Notamacropus eugenii: one gene and its partners. The protein of the gene in region 3 interacts with the protein of the main gene of each other region in a pairwise test. Links are inferred from orthologs where the notes say so. Each region holds a gene or a part of one and is shown on either strand. Other genes may lie near its edges.

The links.
Region 1: the proteins of FAM131C (region 3) and GRN interact in binary tests that used the Homo sapiens proteins (3 or more experiments, as listed by UniProt). The link is inferred for Notamacropus eugenii from reciprocal best matches to the Homo sapiens genes FAM131C and GRN.
Region 2: the proteins of FAM131C (region 3) and VSNL1 interact in binary tests that used the Homo sapiens proteins (3 or more experiments, as listed by UniProt). The two-hybrid records come from large-scale screens. The link is inferred for Notamacropus eugenii from reciprocal best matches to the Homo sapiens genes FAM131C and VSNL1.
Region 4: the proteins of FAM131C (region 3) and HPCAL4 interact in binary tests that used the Homo sapiens proteins (3 or more experiments, as listed by UniProt). The two-hybrid records come from large-scale screens. The link is inferred for Notamacropus eugenii from reciprocal best matches to the Homo sapiens genes FAM131C and HPCAL4.

Annotation. Positions count from the first base shown.
Region 1 is NC_092873.1:349,631,386-349,638,453, reverse strand, and holds the start of GRN (progranulin), read left to right. Parts: upstream 1-4,060; 5' UTR 4,061-4,176; coding exon 4,177-4,202; intron 4,203-4,795; exon of another isoform or gene 4,796-4,898; intron 4,899-7,068. UniProt on the Homo sapiens protein: Secreted protein that acts as a key regulator of lysosomal function and as a growth factor involved in inflammation, wound healing and cell proliferation. Regulates protein trafficking to lysosomes, and also the activity of lysosomal enzymes.
Region 2 is NC_092872.1:756,458,814-756,466,133, reverse strand, and holds the start of VSNL1 (visinin-like protein 1), read right to left. Parts: upstream 3,008-7,320; 5' UTR 2,661-3,007; intron 1-2,660.
Region 3 is NC_092876.1:55,563,089-55,570,855, forward strand, and holds the start of FAM131C (protein FAM131C), read right to left. Parts: upstream 3,016-7,767; 5' UTR 547-3,015; coding exon 492-546; intron 1-491.
Region 4 is NC_092876.1:79,423,862-79,431,762, reverse strand, and holds the start of HPCAL4 (hippocalcin-like protein 4), read right to left. Parts: upstream 3,004-7,901; 5' UTR 3,003-3,003; coding exon 2,841-3,002; intron 1,914-2,840; coding exon 1,698-1,913; intron 942-1,697; coding exon 744-941; 3' UTR 1-743. UniProt on the Homo sapiens protein: May be involved in the calcium-dependent regulation of rhodopsin phosphorylation.

The DNA of each region.
Region 1 (7,068 bases), on a different chromosome or scaffold from region 3:
CCCAGAAACCCGAGATCAGGTTGGAGGGGAGAAGAAAGGGGAGACATAGAAGGGATGGATCCTTCTTCCTGCTCAGCATGCCTCCTTTTAAACGGCTGTTTCTAGTCAGTTGGGGAAAAGATTATCTTACTTAAAATAAATTCAATGTATAAGTATGTGAATATATTAAATATATGGGGACTTAAAGAAAAAGAATGGGATGTTCTTAATGAAAATCTGGAAGCAAAGAGTACTTGCTGGCTCCTGTGTCTGAGAACCGGGGTTCAAGGCTTGACTCTGCTACTTGGTAGTTCTGTATGACCTTGAACAAGCCATTTCCCTTTGGGCTAGAGTTCTCATCTGGAAAATGAGAGGAGTTGGCCTGGATCTCTAAGGGCCCTTACACCTCTAGACTCTGTGGTCTCCTAAAATCCAGGGACATCTATTTTGGACTGTCAGGGCTTTCTTTTTGTTCTCTTTCTAGTTTTTGGCTATGTACCCAAACAGTCCCACTGCTCCCCAAAAGACCTGGAGTCCAGCTAGTCTCCTCACATGCCAGGTGAATTCTTATCCCCAGGCCTCTGTTCTCCCTGTTTGAATACCTCTCCCCTCCTTTCCAAATCATCCCCATCTTTCAAAGTCTGGCTCCAATGCCAGAAAGCATTCCCTGACCTCTTGGATAGAAGATAAAGGCTGCTAGGTTGGCCCTCCACCTCACCCAGAGCTCCTGCCCTCCTGCCAAAGCTTTTATTGTGGCTCTATTACTGTGGATGTTTGGATCATAACCTGAACCTAAGGTCTGAAATATCCTGAATTTGGAGTCACTGTTTAGTGTCAGAAGGAACTACAAAGGCTAATCTGGCCCAACTGATGCGGTTTAAGGGGTTCAGGGACCCCCGAAGGACTGAAGTACTGGACAAGTCATCTGGAAAGAATTCACAGACTCAAGCATTCCTTGACTCAAAGTGGCCAAGGTTTATGGTAACGCCACTATGGTGGGCAGAGTTCCTTAAAGAACTTGCAACTTAATAGGAATGATGCTAAAACTTATATAGGAAAAGTAGTGGACCATCTGGCAGATATGCTAATTAAGTGATAACTTACAACCCTGGTCACTGGCGTCATTCACTACTGGAAACCAGGGTAAGGGGTTTCTCAGGGGTGTATTTTTGGTCTTTAGGTTCTGTAGCAAGATAGCTTTGAGAGCTGGTGTCTACAGCTTGGCATCTGGATTGAATATGATAACTTTGGGAATCAATACATGATAATTCTATGGTTACAGAACAATCCTGTTTTTACAAGAGAATTTCTTCAGTGCTCAGCTTGTTTTCTGATGGGGAGAGATAGTTTGTTTTACTGGGGCACACTCATGAGTTATTGGTGGGCATAGTGTCCTTGGGCTCAGGAGAAAACTGTCAGGAATAGCGTTTTGAAGCTAGGGAGAATGTGATCTTGGAAGTGGAGTCTAAGCACAAGTATCAGATCACAACCTCTTCATTTTACAGATGAAGAAACTGAGGCTAAGAAATAAAACGACTTAGCTTCACAGAGAAACAAGTGGGTTTTGTACAGAGATCTCTCCAATTCTAAATCCAAAGCTCTTGGATTCCAACTCTAGGAGCTTATAGTTGAGGTGGGAAGATAAGATGGAGAAAATGTGATCAGACCCTGTCACAATCAACAGTACAAACAATGCTGCAGTCTCAGAAGGCCTTTGGGGGGGGAAGCAAGACCAAGTATACAGGTCTTCTGAGTATGTGTAATGAAGGGTAGAGTGAGGAAAGGCAGGCTAAGAGGAAAAGAAAGGAAACAGAACAAAGAATTATGGTCAGGCAGACACCAAAATCTGCCTGGAGCTAGTTGTGTTGTGTTGGCTGGAAGGGAGAGATAAAGCTAGACCCAGGGCTAAAGGCCTTGAATGATAAGCTAAACAGTGGAGTCAAACTCAAATAGAAGCAGATTCCCCAAAGGTGACGTATTGACTTAGAAACCTACAAATTAACATTAGCTATGAATGCATGTATGTGCGTGTGTACATGTATACAAATATATGTATATACATATATATGCATACACACATACACACACATATATATGTACACACACGTTTTATTTTATTAAATATTTCCCAATTATACTTTAATTTGGTTCAGGCATTGGTTTGACACCTGTGAGCTTTTATCCTGCAGGAACTTTGGAGGGAGGCTAGATGGGGGCAGCTAGGTAAGGGAAGCAGATAGAGCACTGGCCCTGAAGGCAGGGGGATTTAAGTTCAAATCTGACCTCAGATATTTAATAGCCATGTGACCCTAGGTAAGTCAATTAACCTTTTAAAAAAGAGACAGATAGGCTGAATCTAGGGAATTACTTGGTAAAGTTAGCGTTTTAGGAAAGTTCATCTACCAACACAGCTTCAGGCTGTGAACCTGATCTGATTTTGATCTACTAGGGAATGACCCTGGAGGCAAGGTGGTCATGTAGAAGACAGTCTTGGAAAAACTTGAGTGAGGGCCTACATACTGAAGTAACTCCACAAAGGACCTGAGCCAAACTTCTGGACACGAAAAAAAGAATCCAAGAATAGGAAATCTAAAGATAACACCCCCCCCCCCAACTTGAATTCCTAGATTGGGTCCCCAGAGAGCAACAGCTACCAGGGCTCTCAGGGGTTCCCACTCCTAACACTAAAGCTTCACAAGTTTCAGCCTGTATGTCTTCCCTTAACAGACATCTGGTAGACATACTTAGCTGTTTACTAATGCTACTGTTTACTAAGATGGCATAATAAGAGTAGTAGCTATAAAACATTACCTCCCCCCATAAATTGGGGGTGCATATTGCCATAAATATACAGAAGATCTTAATGAGTGGGCTCCAATTTGGAGTCAATGACAGATATAGAGAACAATACATCTTCAAGGCAAATCACAGCCACGCCAGTCCAAGACTCCAGGGTCTAGCCATTTCTCAAGAGATCCTCCAGTGGTTTTCTGCTGAGCTTGAGGCAGGATGCTCTACTTGTAGGACAGGCTTGTTTCTTATATGGCGCAGCTTCTCTGGTGAATAATAGCTCTGCTAGATTCCCCTAAGATTTGTTTACTCTTCACCAGGCAGTTATGGTCTCCTCTTTCTCCAGTGGAGACCTAGCACTAGCAGAATCCTCCCCAGTTCTGCTCCTTCAGGGTCTCAGATAGCAGAAGTTTTAGCTTTTCATCCCAAAATGATTCTTCAAGTATCTGTTGGGCAGAATATATCCTCTTCGGGTACCCGGCTCTCATTCTAAGCTACATGACAGATGAGGATGAGAGCGGAGATGAGAGAGATGACAGAAGTGTCTTCCTTACTTCATACTTCTGATGGGGATAAGATCTGAACCCCCCAAAAGAAAAGACCATGTCTTTGGGATCTGGACCCCTAAAAGGAAAAGTCCCTGGACTTTCCCCTGCAGCTCAGGTCCCTGGTGGTCGCCTGAGGCCCTCCCAGTTAACTTCTTTATTTTCTTCACATCTAGACTCCTTCTCTGTTCTCTCAGCTTTTTGTATAAAAGACCCATCTTGTCTCCATGCAAAGTGCTCAGACTCCTTAAGGGTCTAGCCAATGCTTGGATTACTTAAGAATCTGGCCAATATGGCGCATTTTTAGAATCAGGCCCCTCTTCTATCTGTGTTTTAATAAACCTTGTCTTTGGCTGCAAGAAGGCTTGGGCCAAATTCATTGCGGCAGGACGTGCACGTCACTATGTGGGGTGCCAGCACCCCTAAGTCTCCACAGTTTCGCAGGGCTTCCCTCCTGGCCTGGCTCCTGGACCTTGGCTTCCTTAGATTGCCCCTGTTCTGTCCACAGTGACTGGAAAGAGAAAAGCCCTGGTTCGGAACCCGCCTCCCCCGTTTCCCAGCGCGCGATCCCAGCAGTCACTGGACTTGCTCAGCTTGTTTCCTCCTCGGTGACCAGAGGACCCCCCGTGGAGTTCGAGACACGACTGGAAAGGGCCCGGCGCACGTCGGTCAGGATGGCCTTGAGGGGGCCTGCGGGGGTGGGGGGGGTTCCGTCCGGGGCCGGTGGGCCGGACCACCCTCGGCTGACTCAGCTAGGGGCCTGCGGACGCCTCGACCGTCGGCTAGCCCTCGTGCGCCCCGCCAAGGTTTGCCAGCCCTCCACGAAGGGCTCTTTTCCCTCCTCCCAACAACCCTGAGCCGGATGTTAGGGTTCTCCTCATTTTACAGGTAAGGAAATGAAGAGAAGTGGAGGGCAAGGGGCTCACCCGGGGTCGCCCGGCTCAGGGCTGGCGGGGAGAGCTCCCCTCCCCCTCCCCCAGCACCAGCACCGTGTCTGGGTTCGAATCCGGGCTCCAGCAGCTAGCTGTGCGCGCCCCGACAAGTCCCCTAACCTCTCCGGGCCTCAGTCTCCCAGCTATGTAAAAGGACCGGGGTGGGAGGCCCGGACCGGATGCACCTGGGAGCTCCCCTTTCCTGGGCCCAGCTCCAAGGGGCCAGCCTAACTGGATGAGGAAAGGAACTGCTGGGGCGGGGGTGGGGATGGGGGGGTCGGAGGCGTCACGGGACAAGGCCGCGGTCAGGACTGGCGCCTAGCTTGGGGTGATCGGCGTCCGTCGCTCTCCTCCCTCCCTTTTTCCCCCGCCCTCACACACCGAACCCCAGGCAGCCCGGGGACCACGTGATCGTGCCATCACATGACGCTCTCGTAATGGGAGGGTGAGGTTGGCGGGGTGGCAGCGGGGGTGGGAGGGAGTCCGGGTTCTGCCGCCCCGCTGGGGGGGTGGTGGCAGCCAATGGCGGTGGGCCGGCCCCGAGCTCTCAGCCAATAGGAAAGAAGTGGGCGTGGCCCCCAAATCTGGCCGGGTCGGTCGGCGTGTTGCGGCCCCGCAGTTTGTGGCCCAGGGCAGTGAGGGTTGCGCTAAGGTAAGCAGGGCCGTCTCCCGGGGGACCCCGGCCAGCGGGGCTCTGCTTGGGGAGCGTGGGGGGGGGGGGGCTAGTGGGCTCTCCATGCTTGGAAATTGGGAAGGGGGGCTTCTTTTGGGGGGGGGTCAGCCCCCAGCGGGGGGGCTGCTAGTGAGCGGTGACCTCAGTGACTGCCTTCCTTGGAAGAAAGGGAGCCTGCCCATGGCCCCCAGACCCCTTTGAAGTTAATTTCCCGTCTCCCCCACCTCCGTTTAAAGTGGACACCCTGAATGATTTAGAACACTGAAAACAAATAAAATAACAAAAAAAGTGGGTACCCTGGCATCCTGGGGGTCCCGTCTACCCCCCGTGCCAGTTGGACGTGCTCTCTTCCCTGGGCTATTATCTGCTGGGGCAAAGTCCCCAGAGCCAGGAAGGAGGCAGGCAGGAGTCTGTCCCCACCCCCCCTCAGTCCCTAGGGAAGGGGTGAAGAGCCGGACACAATCAAGCCTTGGGCAGCCTGGCACAGCCACAGGACTGGGCCCCCTTCACCCCATCCCCTCTGTGGCTCCCTACATCCCTAGAAATAGCTTAAGAAGGAATAGCCTTTGGGAGTCTGGTTCAGGGTTCAACAGCTCCCTAATAACTTTTTCTTTTGGGTGTCTCACCCTCCTGGCTTCTCTCTGCCATTTTACAGCCCTGAGTACAAGGCGGTCCAAAGCAGGCACAAGAACAGAGAGAGAGAGGAGGTTGGGAATTGGTATTACTAAAACGTTGTTTCTCTCTTCATGCTGTACAGCACAACACACACAACTCCCCTAGGCTTGATTCCTTTTTTTGCAAACTCAGTTGTATTTCTCCTGTGGTTTTTTTTTTTTTTTTAGGAGGAGCCAAAGGTTGGGCTTGTATGGGTCAGGGCCTCAGGTCCTGAGAGGAGGAGTTTATCCAAGTAAAAGCTTTCATCTCCCCATAGAGGAAATAATTTTGTAGAGGCTGGAAACCTTAGAGACTTTGGTGTCTGCCCATCTTTAGACCTTACATTCCGAGAGGCCGAAAGAGAAACAGGTGGAACACCTAGCTAGTGTGGGGAAAACAAGAAATAAAGCAGAGGAGGACCTAGCTGGACCTCAGAAGCTTTGGATTTTTTCTGGGAAGAAAGGAAGGCGGAGGATGAGGAAAGGAGCCTCCTCGTCAAAGTGACTTCTGTGGTGACCAGGGAAGAGTAGGATGAAGGATACCTGGGACTTAGTTGCAGAGCAGGGTTTGAATTTACCGTCACCACTACTGTAATGTCCCACCTACTTAGCTACATCAGATTTGGGGGGCTTAGTCTCTCCCTGTTTCTGCCCCTCCCTCCATCCCAGCTTGGGGATATCTGGATTTCAAGGAAACTTGGTCTCTCAGATGAGGTAAAGGGTAAGAAGGAGGTAACCTCAAAGACCTGTCCTAAAGCTGTTCTCCCCTCCCAACCTATCTCATCTGTGGCTTATGTCAGGAAATGATGCTGACACTTTCTCTTAGCAGTTACTCTTAGTGACCCTGATTTTTTTTTCTTCTATTTCCTCATCTCATCGATTATTGATGGAGGGGGTGAGGCAGGCAAACGTAGAGAAAGAGGGACAAAGAGTTGAATCAGAAACATTTCCCAGATCCCAAGAGCCTGGCCTCTCTCCAGCTTCCATTTTGGAAATTTGTTGAGTTGTATTTAGTCACGTCCAACACTTCATGACCCCTTTTGGGGTTTTCTTGGCAAAGGTATTAGAGTGGTTCGCCATTTCCTTCTCCAGTACATTTTACAGATGAAGAAACTGAGGCAAACAGGGTTAAGTGACTTGTCCAGGGTCACACAGCTACTAAGCATCTGAGGCCTCATTTGAAACCAAGTCTTCCCAACTCCAGGCCGGGCACTCTATCCACTGCACCATCTGGCTTCCCATCATCTTGGAAATGTGTTCTAATATTACCCAACCTCTTCTTGGATCAGTGAAAATGACATCCTCCCCCATAAGTTCTTAATCAAGGGCTGGGTAAGGGAACCCATATAAGAGTTTCCTGCCCTTACATCTATCCTTCTTTTGCAGAAGTTAGTATCACCCCCCAAACCCTTCTTCCCACCCCATCCCCACTCTTGAAATGATCAGTCTTTTCCCTCTTTGAGCTTGAAGGAAGGGATGACCCAACAAGTCTGGGC
Region 2 (7,320 bases), on a different chromosome or scaffold from region 3:
GCCAGCACTAGGGATCTCCAAGACCATCTGACCAGCCCCTCCATGTTACTGAGGAGGAAACAGAGGCCAGGGGATGGGGAGGGCTTTGTCCCAAATCTGGAAGGCAGTAAGCAGAAGAGGTGAGATTCAATTCCTCTGACTGTGGAGCAGATTCTCCTTTCCCTGCACCAAGCTGAAGGACCTTAGAGATCGCCTGGCCCTACCCCCTTGCTGTATGGAGAGGCAGCAAAGCCTGGATTTGAACTCAGGTCCTCCGATTCCAAATTCATTGGTTTTTCACCTTCTTGCCCCTGCCTCTCTGCCCCCACCTCCACCTCTTTTGGATGGATGGACGAAAGAAAACCAGTCTGGAGGACAGGAAGAGCTTAGGACATGAGCTGAGACTAATGAGAGACTAATCTGTATAGAACCAAGAACACATGTTGAGTATCTAAGCCCTGAGTTCCAATCAAACAGGAAATTTAGCACCTAACATCTGAGGACAGGTTCTTAGAGAGAATCCAGGCAAGGGGTTCAGTCTAGGGAAGCCTCAGAAATGTTTATAAATGCATAAAATAAAATACATAAAATTACAAAGGAAACCAACTATATTGAAATATATATTTAATTATAAAGTTGATAGACCCCAGGTTAAGAATGTTTTACCTATTCCAACCTCTTCTTGAACAGAAGATACACAGAGCCAGAGTTCTTCCCTAGTCCTAACACCTAAATGCATGCCTAGGCTTTAAGTCACACATCATCCTCCACCGTCCATGACGCAGTGCTAACGAAGCCCCCTGGCCTACAGGCTGCCCTGCTCCATCCCACTGCCTGGGAATATGGATAAACCTTGTTTGGTGGAAAGGGATTTCTTGAGTTTGAGGGGACCCATTTAAACGCATCCTTTAAGAGCTATGAAGGAGAAAGGAGGGCCAAGGGCCGGGAGGTGCTCCCAACCCTGAACCGAGGACCCCAAGCCTCTGCTTATACAACTAGAGATGGCCAGGGGCTGGAAGGGACCAAAGGGGCTCCGGAGCTTGCCCCAGGCGGGTACAAAGCCTTTTGTAAACACGAAAGTGCTTTGAAATGTAAGTTATTGTTACATAACTCCCCCCCCCCCCCTCATTTGGGCAAGCTCCCTCCACCCGCCCCCTTCCCCGTTTCTCACAGTGTAAAATGGGGGCGGGGGGAGGAGAGATAGGAGATACCGGCCTCTAAGGTCTCTGGAAGCCCTCGGTGTTGGAATGGTCGACGTCCTCCTCAGCACCCAAGCACAGGCACACACGTGCGTGTACACACATACGCACACACACGTGCGTGTACACACTCGCACACACACGGGCACACAAACACACGCGCGCATGCACACACACACACACACACACACACACACACACACACACACACACACACACACACACACACACACTCCCTCACATACCCGCCCGCCCCGCTCTGGTACACCAGCCACAGAGCCGTTCCCTGGCTTTCCGTACCCTAGGACCCTCTCCCCGACGCTCCCAGGGGGCCCTTTTCTCGGATATTACCAGGGCACCGGGGGGAGATGGGGAGGATGTAAGTCTGGGAAGTCCCCGGCGGCCTCGGACTGCACGCAAGGTTGGACCCCCAGGTTAGCCAGGTGAGAGGGTAAAGCAGTAAAAGGCCAGCTGGCCACACGCATCCCCCCCTGCCCTTTCCGCTCCCCTGGAGATCTGTCTCAATTGGACCCTCAACGCCTCCGCCAAGGAAACCCTCCCTCTTCGTCCTCCTCCTGTTCCCCCTCCCCAAGATCTGCTTTCTTTCCCGGGGCGGGAGGAGCCACCGCGAGGCTCGCTTGAAAGCCCAGGTCGCAGCCCGACCAGGTAACTAGGCTGGCAGCGAGGCCGTCTCAGCCCGTCCTCTGCGGGAGCCCGCACCCACCTCCTAAACCCCCCATCTAACGTCCGGAGCCCCGGCTGCCTCGGACCTCGCGAGAAGGGGCTGCTCGGGCTGGGCACCAGGAACCTCCCGACCCGAAGCCCCAATGACCTTGGCTCCTGTGGCAGCCCATCCCCCCGCGCTGCTGGGTGGCGGGCGGGCGGCGAGCCCGCAACACTCCTCCAGGCGGGCGGGGAGCCCCTCGGGCTCTCGGAGGAAGGCTCTCCTGGCGCCCGCCCCGCAGCCCCCACGACCCTGCGCGGCAGCCTGCTCCCGACAAAGCCACCCCGGACCACCCGGGCAACCCTCTCGCGAGCCCCCAGGGCCCAGAAAAGCCCCGCGCTCCTCGAGGATGCGGGGCCGGGGCCTCCCGGGCGATCCCGAACAGCCAGCCCCGGAATCCGCTCCCCTCCCCGCGCTGCCCGGCCCATGAGTGCGCACCCGGCGGACCCCGGGCCAGCAGCCCAGGCAGCAACACGCGGCTGGCGTCGAGCCGTCCGCCCCATCGAGGACTGGGCCGATCGAACGTGCGGGACAACCGGGGCTGTTCATGCACGGGCTGCGCGATCCCCCGAGGGGCAGCCCCCCTTTTCCCAGCTGCCTCCCCCCGGACGGACCCCGCGGCTGCCCCAGGCGGGATTTCTGATGGGTGCCTCCGGACCCTGGGACTATGGGAAGGAGAGCCTGGCCCCCCGCCCCCCGCCCGGGCCCGGGAGGAGGAGGAGGAGGAGGAGGAAGGCTCGCCGGCGCCGGGCACTTACTGGTGGGGCGCGGGGCAAGCACGCACTGCCACTCGATGCAACTGAAAGCGCTCCGCAGCTCGGGCTGGGACTCGGGGATGGAGCGTGCGTCCGCCCGCCCGTCTGTCCGTGCGCCGGTCCCGCCGCCTGTCCGTCCGTCGCGGGCTCGGCTGTCTCTCTGCAGCAGCAGCAGCCGCGGCAGCCGCTTCGGTCCCCTCGGCGCGCGCCTCGCCGGCCCCGCCGCCACCGCCGCAGCACGCGCCCGCGCCCGCGTCCGCTCCCGCCCCGGCTCGCGCTCGCGCTTAGGCTCTGCGGCGGCTCAGCAGCGAGACCCCAGTGACAGTCTGGGCTGGGCTCAGTGCGCAGGCGCGCCAGCCCCAGCCTCCGCCCCCGCCCCCGCCCCCTCCGCAGCCGGGCGCACCTGCGTACGCGGGGCGGGCAGAGGCTGCTGCCGCGCCGCCGGCTCGTGACCCCGCCCCGCCCTCGGGAAAGCCGAGGCCGCCAGGGGTCGCTGCTGCGTCGGCGCCGGGGCCGCTCCCTCTGCCAGGACAAGGGTTCGAAGCCCGGCTCCCGACACTTGGGCGGGACCCAGGACCTCTCTCTGGTCTCAGCTTCCTCGGCTCCAAAAAAAGGTTGGCTTAGAACAGCGGTTCCTGGGCGGCCCCATCTCCCGACCAGGGGCCTCCAGTGTCCTTGCCACCCCAAGTCATGGCCCTGCTCTTGTCACTTAATTGTCCTGGGCCTGAAGGGGACCTCTGGTCAACCCAGTGGAGTCAACTGGTAGGACGGGCGAGCAAAACTGGAGCTTTGGGCCCAGAGTCAGAAGACTGAGTTGGAATCCAGCTTCTAACGCTTCCCAGCAGAGAGTGTAGGCAAGTCACGTGACTGCTGCCTGCCTCAGTTTCCCCATCCATAAAATGAGGATCAGGATATACTTCTCTCCTAGCACTATCAGGATCAAAGAAGACAATGAACCCAATATTGTGAACCACAAGGTCATGTGGGAGGGTGGCCACCAGTTGTGGATCTGAGATCCTCGAGTTCTATGACATTAGCCTCTGTGGGACTCACTGTCCTTGGAACTCTGGGAGTGGTGATTCTCCATCCTGCCCTTTCCTCTCCTCCTTGTACCCACTCTTATGTGATGGCAGTAGTCTGACTGACTCAGTCAGTCAACAAGCATTGATGAAGCAGCTCCCAGCCTCCTACTCACCAGATAATGTCTGCAGGGCTAGATTACCTCCAACCCCCTGTCTAGGACTCCATTTTTCTTTTGGGAGAGGGGATGAATCACACTTGTACTCCTAGATTCTTAGTGCTGGAAGATATCCCAGAGGTCCTCTAGTCCAGTTGTCTCATTTTATAGAAGGATTAGCTTAGGCCCACAAAGGTTAAGCATCCAAGGGTCAGAAGTTGACATCTGAACCTGGGTCCAGAGCCCATGAACTTCTCTACCCAACCCACAAGGCAGTGAGGCAAATGCTCTGCTAACCCCAAATGCTGTAGAAACATAAGGAAGGAGCTATTCTTAAGGGTGATGATAACTTCGGTGGTGATGGTGATGGTGATGATGGTGGTGGTGGCAACGATGATGATGGATTGGTGGTTGGAGATTAACATGTACCCTTTCAAGATCCCTGTGGCGAGCCAAGCTGCTAACCAAGAGCTGAGCTAGAACTCACCCAGGCTGTCCATTCCACGACCTTGAGAGGAAAGATGATGCCAGAGGGTACAGGACTTGGAGTCAGTAAATCCTGGATTTAAGTCCTGTCTCTGACCTTGTTCTGACCCCGGGCAAGTCATTCAACTTTTCTGAGCCCTTATTTCCTTGTACTTAATAAACTCCTCCCCCTCCCATTTGTTCTCCTTACCTCTAGTCTTTCCCTTCTAGAATCCATCCTTCACACAGTTACCAAATGAATATTCCTAAAGCAAGGCTTTTAACATATTCCTCCTCTGCTCAAGAACCTTCAGTGGCTCCCCTTTTCCTCCAGGATAAAACACATGCTCTTTTGTCCTTAAACAAAACAAAATAACTTTACGTTATGTCTCCAGCACACTTTCTCCAGACTATCCCACAGTTTTCCATCTCACAATACATTATACTGTAGCCCAACTGACCTACCCACTCTTCCCTGTATCCAACATTCGATCTCTCTCTTGTCCAGCATGGTAGTTCAGGCCTCCCTTAGGCCAGTCTGGCAGGTCAGATTCAAGATTGGAATAGGATAAGACACCCATTGAACATGGGGGCGTTACCCAAGTGTAGGGATGGCATGTTCAACAAGGTGGCAGCCTTTGGTTCTAGCTTTCCTGTGTCTGTGGTGCCTGTGCTGTTCTACTGGACAGAGAAGCTGCTGACTTCTTGTGCCCTGGCTTTTTGGTACTCAGGACACTAGAATCCCAGATCCGTGACCTGAGTCTTCGTTCTCTGAGCCAATTAAGTCTCAAGGAGAGTTTTGGTAGCTTTTATTGAAAAGCTAGCCTTGCCCCAGCAGGGTAGGACCTTAGCTCCGTCCCCCTTCAGAGTTAGGTTATTTCTCTCAAAGCAGGTAACATGCACGCATCATGCATGGGACCTGCAGTTTGTAACTGAGCTCCCTTTGGGGTTCGCATGTGTAGTTTATAGTTTATATATCCTTCCAACTGAGGGTGAAGTCACTCTGTCATCATTTCATTCCAGGACAGAGAAAACACCCCCATACCAGACCACTCCCAGCCTTGGGCTATGTAGACAAAAAAGTCTGTCTCCACCCAAGCTTAAGTAGAACACCAGGGCTTCCCTACCTTGGATTAAATTACTTGCGAGTTTGGGTGGAGGGCTGACCAAGATAAGGAGAGTCCTTGCAATCTCATTATCAGCAATGTCCTTCTAAAGAAAAACTGAACTTAAAGTCAGGACTTTGGAAAACGGGGGCAGGGAGAAGCTCGAAATCTCCAAGATATTGATTATCAATAATCATTTTTCACAGCTCCTACCCCACCCACAACGTCTCCCATGGCCAGAGTGTACTCCCCACTCCCCTTCTGCCTCTTAGAATCTCTAGGTTCCCTCCAGACTCAGCTCAAGCGCTGAGCACCGCCCCCTACACCCAGTAATCAGTACTTCCCCCTAAGCCTACCCACCCCCAGTAACTTGTCCCTCTTCCCTTAGTCAGTTTGCTTCCCTCCCTTCCCCTTCCCTTCCTTTCCCCAATGGGCCCCTGGACCCACCTGGCTTTGGAGTGATTATTAATAGTAACTATTGCTGTTTCCCTCCCAGACTGATGTCTTTCTTTTTCTTGGCCTCATTAAAGGGGCCATGCCCTCGATACTTCTTAAACAGGCCTGTTCAATGAATGGGAGTTACCTCACCCTAAGGGAGTGCCTGTAAAGACCTTGGTCTAAAAGGCTTGAGGTCTTCCAGTGCATCCTGGGTCATCTCCAGTCATCCTGATGAATATCTGCTCACTGGATTCAAATGGTTCTGGAGGAGAAGTGAGGCTAGTGACCTGCACAACCCTCCCTCACTCAAATCAAAGTCAAGTGCAAGTCATGTCATCATTTCTCTGATGGCCTGGTCTTCTTCAGCAATGAAGGATGAACACAATGTCAGTTTGCATTTACTCTTTTGTCAATGTGTTGTTTCTGCCTAGTAGCAGGTAAGGCCCTTGAGAAAAGGAACTGTTTCTCTTTTTCCTTTGTAGTTTAACGCAGTGGCTGGCACACAGGAGCCCCTTAACAATGTTTACTGAAAGTTCTGATTTGGCCTGCTTAGTTCCTAACATTTTTAAGAGGTGCTACTAAGCCAGAGCAGGCTCCAGGGTACAGTGAAAAGACCATCCAAGAGGCATAAATGCAGAAGACGTGCACTGGAATCCTAGTCCTATGATGTATAGCCTGTTTGACCTGGGACAAGTGACTTCAGCTCTCTGGGCCTCCCTCTACTTCATTTCCTTCTTTCTACACTAAGGGGCCAGGCTAGATGGTATCCACAGATGACTAGCTCCAAATCTTGTGGCTGTGACTGAAGTATGCATGGAAATGCTTTGGGAAATTGGAGGTCCCTCAGACGGGTGTTAGTCTTTCTAAGATGTACAGTGTCTGATTAGTCATGGACAAGTGGCTCATCCTGTCGTAGGATTCCAGAGTGGCAGCCTTGGGGTCCTCCTTTGGCCTACAGCCTGAGCCATTAGACTGAGGCACCTGCAAAGAGAATTGCTCAGAATATTAAGGCAGGATGGAATCTTAGGTTCTGGCCAATGCAACAAAAAGAGAAACTGGGGCCTGAAGCAGTGAAGGCAGAGATTGACTCAATGAGCTGCTTCTTGAGAGCATTCATTCCCAAACCTAATCCACATGATCTGGGGATTATTTCTCTGTCTTGGATTAGGGGAAGGGAATAAGTATTTATATAAGAACGTACTACGTACAAGGTGTTGTGTTGAGCACCTTAAAAAAATAAACAAATATTATCCACTCTTTTGCTCAGTGCAAATGGTGCATTGACAGTTGTATCTCTTCTAATTCATTGAACACCCCCCTTACCCTCCTTGAGCATGCTCAGGCTCAGAAAGGCCAAGCAAATGGTGCAGCCTGGAGGCTCCCACAGTGTAGAGCTCACCACCATGACTGATCTCTGCTATCTGGTTCTTGCCTACTTTAGATGGGCGAAGGAGGGTGGGGAGATTATAACAAATTT
Region 3 (7,767 bases):
GATGATGAGAAGGGAAGGGCCTCTGAGCACCTGAGGAATAGGAAGATAGGATGATAGGCCCGGGTTTCAGTTTGCCCTCTTACTATTCGAGGAAGGAGGAGTGCCACTGTGCCCAGAGATATCTTTCATTAGGAGTGACTCACTGAAGGGTCACTCAGCCCTGCCCAGGGCACTGATGGGCACAGCTGGGCATATGCTCAGTTAGGAGAATGGGTAGGAGGTTTCTTATGGGGACTCATCCCAGACCCTAGCTATCCTTTCCTTCCCTGGGGTGAATCTTGATGCCCTGGGGCAGAGCCCAATCTGCTGGGCCAAATATCCCCCAAATTCACCCCAGTAAGACCTAGAGCCATCAAGCAGGCTGAGAAAAACAGCTGAGTTAAAGGTTTCTCAGAGGAACGGGCAGGGGTCAGGAACACCTGCATTTAACAGGTCATATACAACCTAGAAGTGGGTGTTTTTAGGGAAGATACAAAGCATTTATTAAACACCTGCTGTATATGTACCAGGTACTGTGCCTTTAAGTGCCCTACAAGTACAGCCCATCTGAAGAGATGGGGGAGAGACGATGTGTGGGATGGTGAGAGGCCGCACTAGAACCAGGCAGACGACCCAGATTCAAAGCCTCTGAGCAGTCACTTTTCCTCCCTTGCTCTTCATTTTTTCCTCTGTAAAATGCAGAGGCCATCCAGCTCCAAGGAGAGAAGGAAAGGGGCATAGGAGACTGAGGGAGGCCCAGAAGTTCAGTGACCTGTCCAAGAACACACAGGTTACAGTAAGTGGAAGAACAGGATTCAAATTCTCCATCCATCAGTCTCTAAATCAAGGGTTCTTCTCTAAGGGCCCTCCCAGGCCTGGCATCCTATGTTCTAAGGGTCCTCCCAGCTCTGACATCCTGTGTTCTAAGGCCCTCCCAGCTCTGACATTCTGTGTTCTAAGGCCCTCCCAGCTCTGACATTCTGTGTTCTAAGGCCCTCCCAGCTCTGACATTCTCTGTTCTAAGGCCCTCCCAGCTCTGACATTCTGTATTCTGAGGTCTTTCTCAGCTCCGACATTCTGTGTTTTTAGCACTCGATGTCTTCAGGGTCCTCCAGGCTCTGATATTTTATGACCTCACCTTCACAGAGACTGAACTCTAAAGATGAATAAGAATATTGATGAGCCCTCCACATATCTACTGAAAGATGTTAAAAAATGCTTGCATCCTTTTACGTGGGGCCGTCACTAATCCTACAACAACACCCTACCTTGCCTCTTAGTGTTGAGGGCTAGGGCAGGGAGAGACAAGATGGAAGTGTCAGAGGAGCCACCTGGGGTTGGTTCCATTTTAATGATGGAAAAACTGAGGCTCCAAGAGCTGTGACTTGCCCACATAGCCAGTTAGCAGCAGAGTGGGAACCCAGGTCATCTGCTTCCAAGCCAAATGCTCAATCCATTCCACTAGGGAGGATTCTTTCCACCATGCTGCCTTTCTTGGTCCCTCCCCAGTTTGGTTTCCCATTCCTATATCTCCTCTCCAGGGTCCAAGCCTACAGCTGGTTACCTCCTGCCTCCTTCTCCCCCTCAGGACTTGGGTCCTTGTGATGTCACCCGTGGTTGCCATAGAGACATCAGGTAATGAACCAGGCTTGGGTGGAGTCACAGGCTCCTCCTTCCCCAGCTGGGACCAAACCAACCACGTCACTGGCCATTGGAAAAACACAGCCTGAGAAGGATGGAGAGAGGGGATGGAGGCAGGAGCATAGCTCAGGGCCCCCTCCCCCAGGATGGGTCAGCTCTGTCCTCTGTGAGATTAGTGACAAGGAACGCCTGGATCTCTAGCAGCATCTCCCCTATTCTCTAAAGGCTTTAGAAGTAAAAAAAGATCTTGGCATCCATTGAAGCACCTGAGACCCAGAGCAGGGTAGTGACTTGATTAAGGTCATTCATGTAGTTACTAATAGACTATGAGATTTGAACTCTGGACCTCTGCATCCCCTGGCAGATCTAAACCAGTAACTACAGACCCCTTTCCTAGACTCTTGGTTTACCCTGATCCTGAGGTCAAAACCTGACTCCTCAATCTGCTATTTGCATTTCTTTATATCCCTAACACTTAGTAAGATGACTGGCACATAGTAGGTACTTAATAAATTCATGCCAAATGAATAACTCTCCTTCCTCCCCTCAAAAAAAAAGAATTAAAACTGGTTTGCTTCCTGGGGGCACTTAGAGGTCATGTCTTGTATCCTTCTGCATCAAAGTGGGCAGTTTCTCTCCAGTTGATAAAGAAGCTAGAGAGGGAAGATGCTATTTCTTTCCTCAGTACATTTGTTGAAGTATAATATGATCTCTAGCACTGGGGAAGTTCCTCCTTGTGTCTAGTCAAACATTTTCTTGCTGTGTGTCTAACCAAAACCTTTCTTTGGTAACTTCAGCTCACTTCTCTTCTGGAATGATCGGGGAGATGGAGAGTTACTGGTCACCCTCCCCCTAGATAATATTTGAATAGTTTACAGCTCTCACCCTGTTCCTGACTCAGCTCAGTTCCTTTGGGCATCTCAAGGAGCTGTTTCCATCTAAAGACTTCACAGTCTTTATGGGGCAGGCAGGGAGGGCTCATATTAAGTCTGCATCTTACATCCCTTACATCAGAAGGTCAGAGAGAAGAAATACCTCCCAAAGTCACACAGTGGAAAGACCTCCTTTTTCATCCCTGTTCAGTTCACTTACAAAATCTCTGAGTTTGAAGGGATCATCTCATCCAACCCTAAGGTCACACTATTAAAATTTAAGTCAACAACCTATAATGTACAAGGCATTAGTCTGAATGCTGAGAAAATACTAAAGCTAGGATCTGAATCTCGGTCTTCTGCCTCCCTTCCCCTGCCCTATGTTTTCTGTTTTCACCAAGAAGCTCAGTGTCACTCATGGTCCCCTATCTTGATTATTCTAACAGGTCCTAGGACATCAGTCCTAAGGAAAGATAGCCACACTTCTGTGTTTGAGATGCCTTTGTACCATCCCCGTGAGAGTTGGTCAAATCCCTTTCCTCTCTCTCAGACCTCAGTCTCCATTTCTGCACAATGGGGCCAATGTGTGCCCTCCTCTTCCCCCAGCTTCCCCCCCCCCCTCAAGTAAGAGAGAGAAGATACTGCCTCCTCCCTCTGCCCGGTGAGTCACCGCCACAGGTGCAGAGACCCAGCCTGGTGTGGCGGCTTGGCTGAGAACAGCCTGGCTGTTACCAATCTTCCCTAGCCCTCGAGAAGAGATATTTTTAGAGTGATTGTACAGCTTCTATTGCTTTTCAGAACCTTTGGCTCTGTTTTCTGCAGCAGCAGATACCCATCCTTTCATTTCCCCTCCTCTCTAAATCTGTTAGGGTTATAGAACAAGGACAGATTTGGGTTCAAATCTGGCTTTGGACAGCAATTAGCTATACAGCCTTGGACAAATCATTTCACCTTTAAGAGCCTCCATTTTGTCATCTATACAATGGGGATGATGATGCCTGTAGCACTGACTCCCACATCATTGCCATGAGGCTCAAATGAGATGTCTGACTGCACATCACTTTGTAAACCTTAAAAGTTTTATAGAAATGTCAGGTATTATTAACATATTCACATTAGCATATTTTTGGTTCCTTCTATAAACCATACTGGGGCAGCTAGGTGGCACAGTGGACAGAGTACAGGTCTGGAGTCAGGAAGACCTGAGTTCAAATCCGGCCTCAGACACTTGCCAGCTGAGTGACCCTGGGCAAATCACTTAACCCCTATTTGCCTCAGTTCTTTATCTGTAAAATGGGGACACACCGGAGAAAGAATTGGCAAATCACTCCAGTGTCTTTGCCAAGAAAACCTCATGGATTCTTTGCCAAGAAAACCTCCCTCATCTCCTTTAAATTCACCACCTTCATGAAGTTTCCTTGGATTAACCTGATTTAAGTCCATCGTACCAACACTTGAGGATTCAGTTTGCGCTACAAGAATGAATGTTATTAATGTTCTTATTGGCATTTCCTAGAGTATGTGTGATATGCTCTGTTTCTCCAACTCAGTTTAGGAGGTCAGAAACTGGGTTTCTCCTATCAAATGAAGATTCTTCAAGGGTAGGGAGTGTATTCCTCACTGGACTGGGGACTTCTAAGGAAAGAGTTGGGAGAAGGGAGACTCTGAAACTTATTGGTCTCCTCTCAAGATGGGAGGAACTCCAGGTTCTCATTGTGATCCCTGGCAAGATGACAAAAATCTGCTTTGTTTGTAGCCTGCTTGGGGCTTCAGTGTACCTCCATGCTCAGTGGAAAGACCAATCCCACCTAAACTGGCATGGAGAGGGAAGGGAGGCTCAGCTTCTTGGGTGGAAGGGTAGGGAGAAACATAGGTAACTGTTTTCCATAGGCTACCTTGGGGATGACCTGCAGCCAATTTGCACTATTACTGGACTACCTTTCTGCAATATCTGCCACTGTGTATCAAATAAATGTTACCTAGCATATACAAAGGATCAGAGAATATCTAAGTCAGGAAAAAAAAATCTTAAAATATAGAACATATTTGTCAGGGGCCTTAGAACACTAAATGTCAGAACTGGAACGGCCCTTAGAACACTGAATGTCAGAGCTGGGAAGACCCTTAGAACATGGAATGTCATAGCTGGGAGGACCCTTAGAACACAGAATGGCAGAATTGGGAGGGGTCTTACCACACAGAATGTCAGAGCAGGGAGGGTCTTAGAACACAGAATGTTTGAACTAGATGCAACCTTGTCACTTTTACCCTGTCACATTCACATAGATGTATCTTAAGCTTGTTAACCCTGCTATCCCTAGGCTGTTATAAACACACAGTGTGAGACCTGGGAGGGAACTTTGAGATTTTCTAGCCCAGAGAGCCCACAAACTACTGCTTAGGAGCCAAGTCCTGTCCACTATCTGTTTTTATACCTCCTGAAGAACTAAGAATATGTTTATATTTTAAGATACATTGTACATACATAAATTCAAAATATTTTCTATTTTTAAATATAATCAAAATTTATTTTAAAATATAAAAATCCTTCTTAGCCACTGGTCATCCTAAAATAGGCTGGGCTGGATCTAGCTTGCAGATTGTAATTTGCTGCCCCACCCCATCTAGACCAAGCCCCTCACATTAGGGAAAGTGAAACCCCCTATAATACTTCACTAATCCTTAATTAGAAGCAGTTGGGGACAGATAATTGGGGATGGCAGGTAAACCAATCTGAATCTGTGACAAATATGAATTATTGATTACTTGGGAAAAAAAGGAAGTACTTGTAGACTGAAAAAGTACCAAAGAGGAGAGCTCCTGAGGTGACCTGATTAAGTGACTACAGATCCAAGGAGCCTGAAGCCGGGAGGTGCTTCCAAAGCATCCAAGAATGGGTCATTCTGTTAAATAAACTAAACTTATTCATTCTCTCTCTCTCAAAAAAAATATATATACATATATACATATACATCTATCTATCTATCTATCTCTCTATCTATCTATCTATCTATCTATCTATCTATCTATCTATCTATCTATCTATCTATACTGCACATCCATTTGGGAAACATCATTTCCTTTCCCCTTCTCCCTCACCATCATTTCCCCCTCTTCCACTAAGCGTAGGGAAGGTATTTCATGCCTAGAATACATTTTCCACCCTGGTCCAAATTGTTGAAAGCAGAGACCCGGGTTCTGGGCCAGCCTCTTCAGCTCTTGCCCATCTGTAAAATGGGAAAAACACTAAGGTTCCTTCCACTTCCAAAATTCTATGTTCTAGGGTCCAAAACTAGTTTGACATTCTGTTCTAAGGACCCTCACAGGCCTGACATTCTGTGTTCTGAAGTCTCTTCCATTTTTTGATATGATAAGGTCCCTTCCAAATTTGTCGTTTTGTGTTCTAACGGATCTTTTGGCTCTAATATTGTGTGTTCTAAGGGACTTTTTCCAACCTTTATATTCTCTATCCTAGGGCCATCCCAGTTCCAACATTCTGGGTTCTAAGGGCCCTCCCAGCTTTGACATTCAATATTCTAAGTTCCCTCCTCTCTCTGACAGTCTGTGTTCTAAGGTTCCTCCCCTCTCTGACAGTCTGTGTTCTAGGGCCCCTTCCAACTCGGACATTCTATGTTCTAAGGGCCCTCCCAGCCATGACATTCCATGTTCTAAGTCTTCTCCCATCACTAGTGTTCAGTGATTCAGTGTTGATCAGGGAAATCCAAATCAAAGAGGTTTGACTGAGATTAAACATGACTTTTCACTTACTGGGAATCTATTTGCAATGGTTCTTCTGATTGTCTGTAACATCTGCCCTATCCCTCATGGTGGGCAAAACTTGTTCTGGAAACACCCTTCAATACTTTAAACATTCATGAACATACACAGAAAGACAACTGGAAAGTCATCTCTGCTTTTTGTTTCCATCCTACAGTTTCTCATCCACATCCCTCCTGATAGCAGATGGTCGTCTGCTGTTACAGAATATAACCCAGAGACCAGGGAGCCCTCTGTGGAGGCCTGGACTAAACTGTCTTAGCAGGAGGGCAGAGGGCCCCAGTCACAGGGTAGGCTACCTCAACTCAGTGTCGGATCTTTGTCCAGGTGACAGGAAAAGTAACTGACAACCCTGTTTCTCAGGTTAGGCCTTGAGGAGGGTGCAGCAGGTATAAGGTGACCTGGGATAGAGATTAGTTTTAGTTCAATGCACATGAGAACCCCAGGGCTGAGGCCTTTGAAGTGATGGAGCCTTGTGATTGCCCCTGCCGTGAAGATAGGGTTTCAGTGATAGAATGGGGAGAGTGACAGGGTTCAGTGAGGAAGTAGGGGACATCAGTGAAGGCAGGAATATTTACTAAAGAAGATGGGGAGGTCAGTGAGAATGAGGGTTCAATAAGACTGGGAAAGGTCAGTGATGGCATGGGAGCTTGGTACAGATGTCAGGAAGGAAGATGTGGACCTTGGAGAGGATGGGACTTACTGGGCCTTACTGGGCTGGCTCAGTGAGATAACAGGACCTCAGTATAGAGATGGAGGGATCAGTACAGAGGATGGGGAGAAAAACGTAGAGGTGCTGGTATAGTGAGAAGGATAGGGAGGTCATAGAGAAGATGGAAGGGGGTCGTTCAGAGGAATGGGGAAGCCAGAGAGAGGGATGTAGGATCTCAAGGACGCAAATTAAGGCAATTCACTAGTGCCCTGGATCCTTGGGAAAAGTCCAAACTTGGGCTAAGAAATCCCTAGGCTTGGCTGTGCTTGAAGAACTTTGCTCTCCTAAATGCCCATCCTTGTACAAAATTGAGGTCATGTTGGTCCCCCTCATTCATGAGTCTGTCTCACCTGGCCATCTTCAGCCTATCACACTCACTAGACATTACCTCATACCTGTCACACTTGATACCCCTAGTCTATTACAGACAAACTATCATAGACAAACTAAGATCTGTTGTCTTCACATAGGCATGTCCTATACCTAGCATACCTGGCCAGCCCTAGCCTTCCACAGTAATAGACATACTTTATAGTAGTCACACCTGGTCACTCTTAGTATGTCCCACTCAGAGACAACCCTGGACAACCTTAGTCCATCACACTAAAATACTAGTTGGCTGGGGAGACAGACAGGGGAAGGAGGTGGTGACTGGTTCTGATTTTGTGTTTATGATGTGGTATGCGAATGGATAGTTTCCCCCTGACCTAGGCTGACCCCAGGAGAACTCTGAAAAAACAAGGCCAACTGTTTTTGTAGTAGTCCAAGGCTGGACTACAAAATGTC
Region 4 (7,901 bases), about 24 Mb from region 3:
AGGATGTGATGGATCTGGGGCTAGGAATACCCCCCTCCTCAAGGCCTGCCCCTAAGCTCTGCCAGCAAGTTCAAAAGAAGAGAAGGGGGAACCAGGGGCAAAACTGTAGGGTTGGGGAAAGGGGTCACACAGGGAGGGGGCCCAGGACTAAGAGAGCTGGGCCCCTGGAAGACCCTGGGATGAGGGGGGCCCATGGAAAGGGGGGGTGAGCCACAACCAAGGCCTAGGGCTTGAGGGATACCTGGGGCAAAGAGGGATGGAACACTAGAAAAGCCTGGGGAGAGGGAAGGCAGAGGTGGGCTGAGGCCCCAAGGAGGGGAAGTTGGAGAGGCCTCAAGATGGGAGAAACCTGGGGCAGAAAAGTGTAGAACATCAGAAGACTATGGGGAGAAGGAGGTCCAGGGCAGAGGACGGTTGGAAACTGGGTGGCTCTGAGGAGGGGTAGGGGAGGAGAGGATAGGACAAAAAGATGCCAGGGTAGAGGGGGCTAGGACCCAGGAATGCCTGGAGATAGGGGAGGGGAGGTCCTGGGTAGAGGAGGCTAGAACATAGAGACGCCCTGAACAGAAGGGGTTAGGATCTTGGAGGCCAGGGCAGGGCACAGGGATGCCCTGGACAGAGGGGGTAGGACCCTAGGAGGTCCTGAGGAAGGGCACAAGGATGCCCTGGACAAAGGGGTTAGGACCCTAGGAGGTCCTGTGGAAGGGCACAGGGATGCCCTGGACAGAGGGGGTTAGGCCCTCCTACTTCTGCATGTCACACTGCAGCAGGAGCACAATGGATGGGTCACTCTTGGCGGCCTCCTTGAACTCCTCCAGGGTGATCTGGTCATCTTTGTCCTGATCCATCTTGGTAAAGATCTTGTCTACGCGCTGCTGAGGGGTCAGCCCATCCTGGTTCATCCTCATCATGATGACCGTTCCTACCATCTTGTAGATAGCCTAGGTGGAGAGGTAGGAAAAGGAGGGGGGGTTGGGATCAGCCCCTCAGGCCCTACTGGCCTAGACCAAGCCTTCTCACTGTCCCACTCTGACTTCTGAACCTTGACCTCAGACCTCACCACTCACCCTGACCACCAATTCCCAAACTTCACTACTCCACTCTGATATCTGACCCCTGACCAGGGGCTTCAGAGTCATGTTGCCTAAAGACTGGCCGAAGGAACTGAAGGAACTGCGCTCCGTTTAACCTGGTGGGGGAAGATTCGGGCAGTGATATCTATCACCTTCAAGCACTTTTCCTGTGGGAAAGGGATCAGCCTTGTTCTTGCCTTAGCGGGCAGAACCTGTAGCTGTAGCTGAGTTGAAAAGACACAAATTCAGGCTTGATGAAAGGGAAAAGTTCCTCATAATAGGGTTGTGCAAAATCAGAATGGACTCCCCCAGAAAGAATGAGCTCCCTGTCACTAGAGGGCTCCAAGGGAATTCCTTGTTCATGTCTGGGCTGGACTAGATGGTCACCGGTGCCTTCACACTCTAACTTGATTGACTACTCTGACCTCTGATCTAAAACAAAACTGACTTCTGAACTTGCTACTCTGACCCCTGACCTTTCCAAATCCAACCACCCCAGTCATGCAGCCCACTCTCTGTCCTCCAAACCCGACTTCTTTTTGCCCTCCTTTGTTTCCCTCTTTCTCCCCTGCTCTGACCCCCAGCCCTCCCAATGCCCCAGCCCTGCTGACTCCCCACCAGCACCTCAATGATCTCCAGCATCTCCAGGCGGGTGATGCGGCCATCACCATCCAAGTCATACATCTCGAAGGCCCAGTTAAGTTTCTGCTCAAAGCTTCCTCGAGAGGTGACCGACAGGGCACATATGAACTCCCGGAAGTCTATGGTCCCATCCCCGTTCTTGTCAAAGGTGCGGAAGGCATGCTGGGCAAACTTAGAGGCATCACCATATGGGAAAAACTGGATGGAGGAGAGGAAGAGAAGGAGTTGGGGGGAAAGGGAATCAAGGAGACAAGGAGGCACACACCACAAGAGAGAAGCAAAGATCAGACAGGGAACAAGAGACAGCGCAGACAACTGAGGCAAAGTGCCCTGGGGGAGAGGAGAGTGAAGCCCAAGGCAGATTTGTATGGACCAATGCATAGAAAAGTAAGCAGAACCATGAGGACAATTCATATTGTAACAATAACATTGTAAAGATAAACAACTTTGAAAGATTTAAGAATTCTGGTCAATGCAATGCCCAGCCAGGGTTCCAAGAGACCAAGAAGAAAGCTACCCCCCTCCCAACAGACTGATGATCAACTTAGGGAGCAGAACGAGACACATAGCTTTGTACATGACCAATAAAGGAATCTGTCTTGTTTGCCTATGTGCTTGCCTACGCCTATTGGTTACAAAGGATTTGTTTTTGTTTTTTTCATTAGGCGCAGGGAGAGAAAATAGATTTTGTTAACTGAACAAATATAAAACAAATTTTAAAAAAATTGAAACCCAGGGTCCTGGTGGGAGCTGAAACTGTAGGCCTAGGTGCCACCAGGCTTGTCCCTAGAGTTCCCCCAGTCCATTGCCCCCCACCCTAGCCTCCTAGAGCATGGTGGAAGTAAGCCCAAGTCCACCTACACTTCCAGGGCAGGGAAAGGTGGGCCTGTTGGGGATCAGGTGAGCTCTTGGCTCAGAAGAGAAGGGGGAGAATGGAGAGGGCCTCCAGGTAGGATCCACACATCTCTCAGTACAGCGAAGGCCCCTGTAGCAAACTCCCCACCCTTGGGTGAGGACCCTCTCTCAGCTGACCTTGGACCTGACCTCCCTCTACATCCATCCTCCATCCCTCTTCCCAAGAGCCCAGGCAGGAGAAGGTGGAAGGGGAGGAGAAGGGAGGTTTACTTTGACATAGAGCTGCTGAAACTCCTCCAGGTTGAGGATGCCGCTGGGACAGTCCTTCAGGAAGCCTTTGTACCACTGCTTCAGTTCCTGCTCACTGAACTCTGTGCTCTGCACAAGGTCCTCCAGCACCTCCGGAGCCAGCTTGCTGCTTCCTTTCCCCATGGCCCAGCCTGCGGGCACACAAGCACACAGAGAGCTCAGTCTCAGCCTTGGCAAAGGAGAATTCTTTTCTTGGGAACCTGGACAAGTCCCCTCAGCCCTTGTGCGCCCCAGACAACCTGACTCCCCAGGCTGGGCCCTAGGAGCTCCCTCTTTCTTTCAAGTTCTTTGTTATTACAAAAGATGCTGCTGAAAAGCAGTTATGTATTTATGGGACCTTTCACCCTTTGGTTTTTACCCCCTTAATGTATATGTCCTGGAGTAGTGTGTGTGTGTCTGTGTGTGTTCGTTTTTTATTACTGAAGAAGACCATGCCATCAGAGAAATGATGACATGACTTGCACTTGACTTTGTTTTGAGTGAAGGAGGGCTGTGCAGGCCAACAGCCTCACATCTCCTCCACAGCCATCTGAATCCAGTGACCAGATATTCATCAGGATGACTGGAGATGACCCAGGATGAGGCAATTGGGTTAAGTGACTTTCCCAAGGTCACACAACTAGTGAGTGTCAAGCGTCTGAGGTGAGATTTGAACTCAGGTCCTCCTGACTCCTGCACTGGTGCTCTATCCACTGCACCACCTAGCTGCCCTCCTGGGGTAGTATCTCTGGGTCAAAGGGTATGAACAATTTTGTTACTTTTTTGAAAATAGATCCAAATTGTTTTCCTGAATGGTTGTACTAATTTGCAACTCCACTAACAATGTATTAGTGAGCTTATCTTCCCATAGCCCCTCCAACATTTACCATTTTCATCTTTTGTCATCTTTGCCAATTTGAAAGGCATAATACAATATCTGAAAGTTGTAATAAAATTCCCTCTTCTCCCTGCTTTTTAATGTCCCAGAATCTTACTTTCCTCACCTAAAAAAAAAAGGCAAAATAATGATTGTACTACCTACTTCTCGGAGCAGTAGTAAACTTTAACCTAAAAGTGTTACAGAAAGAACGTGTGCCTAGAGGTAGCAAAGTGGTGCAGTGGATGGAACTCTGAGTCCAGAGTCAGGAACAAATCCAGCCTCAGACATTCGCTAGCTGTATCACCCTGGACAAGTCATTCGGCCTCTATTTGCCTCAGTTTTTTAAACTGTAAAATGGACTTAACAATGGCATCTGCCTCCCAGGGCTGTGGTGAGTCTCAAAGGAGACAACGCTTGACAAATGTTTAGCACAGGGCCTGGCACACAATTAGCTGTGTGGCCTTGAGCAAGTCATTTCATCTCTATGGGATTCTTTCTCTTCCTATACCAAAGGAGGGCTATACTGTCCGAACCTTACTGTGTTTGAATCTCAGCTCTACCATTTACTGTGTAACCTAGGCTCACTAACCTTTCTGTCCCTCTGTTTGCTCATCTATAAAAGGAGGGAGTTGGACAAGATGACTTCTAAGCACCTTCCCCCTTGAAATCTCTGATTCTGTGATAGGACACCCTCTGTCCTAAAAATCTTTCTCACTATTAGCTCAGGCACATGTTACCAAGCTGAAAGGGCTTCAAGTTTGGGCTCAGTGATGGAGTTCATGTCTGTTGTCCAAGGACCAGTCTAGCTAAGTTCACAGCCGCCCACCATCAGGGTAAACTGCAGGAGGAGGAATTTATTTTAGGGAGGGAGGGGTCCTGAGTCCTACATCCTGACAAAATCGTTTGTTGGTTGTGCCAGACTCTTTGTGATCCCATTTGGGGTTTTCCTTGGCAATAATACTGGAGTTTTTTGCAATTTTCTTCTCCAGTTCATTTTACCAATAAGGAAGCTGAGGCAAACACAGTTAAATGGCTTGCCCAGGGTCACCCAGCTAATAAGCGTCTGAGGCTGAATTTGAACTCAGGTCTTACTGTGCAACCTAGCGGCACAAATAACATAGTTATTCTTGAAAATGGCTTACAAATGGAAGAGGCCTTGTGTTCTACCTCCAAGCAAGATTAAAACTCCTTTAAGAAGCATTGGGACCAAGACTGAGAAGCAGAGACTTGGACCCATCAAATCCAGGCCTCTTCATAGAACCAAAGAGGAAAGGCATGCACAAACAAGGTGATGATGCGACTTCTAGTAACAGGCAGGGCCAAATATTATTATTGTCGCTGATGATGTGAATATTCCTGGCCAGCCTCTTTCTTATTCTGGGTGTGCTTTCCCCCTAGGCAGCCTCCCATGCTCACTCTCACCTGGAGGGCAATCAGCTTCAGGGTTCGGAGGTTTCCTATTTGGAAAGGGCTAGAGAGGTCATTGAGGTTACCTGCTTCCCTCATTTTACCATAGGTTCATAGACACTTAGAGCTAGAATGGATCTTAGAGATCTTTGATTCCAGCTATCTCATTTTACACATGAGGAAACTGAGGCCAGAGAGGTTAAGCGATTTGCCTAGGGTCATAAAGATTATCTCTGAGGCAGAATTCAAACTCAGGCCTTCCTAACTGTATCCACTACTGCATACCTCCTCTACTATGAGGAAAGATAACTGAGGACCAGAGGAGGGGAGGGAGGTGGCCTTAAATCTTACAGGCAGCCAGTGTTGGAGTTGGGATTTGAAGCCATCTCTTCACTCCCAAAGTTGTGTCCTTTCCACCATACTTCAGCCCAGTTGTTCTGTCACTGTCTGAACCAATCTGGATCAGGATCCCTGGGTCTCCCCAACCCAACATGGCACACTCAAGTCCCTGTACATAGTGTAGACTGGACAGATAGACCTTAGTGAGCGAATAAACTCCTTAGCAGCCTGTGAGTCCTCTTCCAATTAATTGCCCACTGGTGGCAAAGGAAGCTGACATCCTCATTGATTCAGCAGCACACACCCCATTCTCCCCCCACCCCCCACCCCCCATACCCTCTAATGCAGAAAGCCTCCCCAGAGTCCTTTGATGGTACAGGGGAATGCAGAACCTAACTTGGTCACCAGAGGGAGACAGAGACCAACCCCACAGTAGCAGGCATTTCGTGCATGGGGTGGGGAAGAGGTGGTCTTTAGAAGCATGGGGGTGAGGGGTATGAGTGGGGGACCACTGGGAGCTGTTGAAGGGTTAGTGGAAGTATTGGGGGTGGATAATATGCTGAGAAATCAGTGAAGAGTGGAAAGAGCAGTGGGACGTGCTGGGGAGCAGACTCATTGTAGGGGCAGTGGGGATATTGGGGGTCAGTAAGAAAAGGTTGGAGAGTGCTGAGGGTTAATGAGGGGCAGTGAGGAAGGTTAGAGGTTTTGGGGATCAATGAAGGGCATTAGGGGCTATAAGGAAAATAATATTGGGAGGCAGTGGGAGGTACTGAGGTCATTAGAGCAGGTTGGAGGCAGTAGGGAGCATTGGGAGGGGTCAGCAAGAGGCAGCGAGGAAGGTTAGGGGCAGTGAAGATGTTTCCAGGACGTCCAGTTGACCATGGAGAGCTTCTTTATCATCAGCAACCACCCTCCTACCTTTCACAACATCTGAGGAGTGGGGAGGGACAAGGAGGGGAACTCACCATACACTCATAGGAACATAAGTATTTAGATCTTCCATTTTACAGATGAAGAAACTGAGATCCAAAGAAGGGAAGGCATTTTTTTCAATGTCACACAATGAGTTAATAGCTCCTTTGGGAGAGTCCTGACTCAGCCAATAGAGCTGAGGGGTGTGGGGGGCAGGATGTCGGGCCCCTGGAGGGAGAATTGAGCTTGAATCAGGGTAGTCCCTGGTCTTGTTTTAGCAGCAGAAAGCCTAGAAGGTTGCTTTGGGGGCTGCCTGGAGACAGAGTTCTGTATCTGGCTTACTTTGTGACTTACCTTCTGGGACTTCACCAGCTGTACTTAGTGTCAAGAGTACCTTCTTGCCTTCCTGCCTTGTCTAGGCTGACGGGAAGTTGGAGGAGCTGTGGGGGTGGTGTGGGGAGCTTTCTGGCACTTGTTATCACGAGAGTATGATGAATTCTCTCTGGGGAATGATTTGGGGGGAGACGTTTCCTGGGAGACCGGTTTTTGGGAGAAGGTGCTAGCAGGGGGGTAGGAGAAGCTTGAGAATAACTGATTCCCATTTCTAGATCTTCTTTACAACTGCCTTTCCTCCAAACACCCCGGGAGGGAGGAAATTGTCCAGTCCCTCATTTTACAGATGAGGAAACTGAGTCTCTGAGAAGAGGAGCAGCCGGTTCGATGTCACACAGTGAACAGGTGGAAAGATCTAGATTTGAACCCAGATTTCCTAACTCTGAGTCCAGTTTCCTTTCAGCTACACACCCACTGCTGTCCCTTTAACTGCAGTGCTTGGAATCTGGGACTCATAGACCTTGGAGCTGAGAGAGAGCTTGGAGATCGTCACACAGTGTAGGGCTTCCCAAGGTGGGGGATGTGTGCACCTAGAAGGTCTGAGCACAGTAATTCACATTTCTATAGCAAATTAAAGATCTCCAAAGAGCTTTCCAAGCACTATCTCATTTGGTGCTCAAACAACCCTGTGAGGTGGGTGCTACTATTATCCTCATTTTACAGATGAGGAAACTGAGGCACAGAGAGGCCGAATGACTCGCCCAGTAAGTGTGTGAGGCTGGATTTGAATCCAGGTCCTCCTGACTCCAGGTCTAGTACTCTATCAACTGTGGCACCTTGTTATAACTACATATTTATAAATATATATTATTATATAATATATTATAATGTAATGATCTATATATAAATGATTATAAATATATATTTATTTCTTTTCCTATTGGACAGAAAGATGAGAAGATTTAAAGCAAGCCGCGGGGCATGGGGTCCAAAAAAAGGTCAGGAACCCACCCCTGGTCTGATCTAACCTTTTCTTCTACATATGGAAACTGAGAGGAAGAGACCTGTTCAATGTCATGTTTAACCAACTTGTATTTTCCCCTCAGTTAGGACTGCCCTACCTCCCTCTCTTTACCTGTTGAAATCTTAATCAGTCTTTACAGGAGGAAATA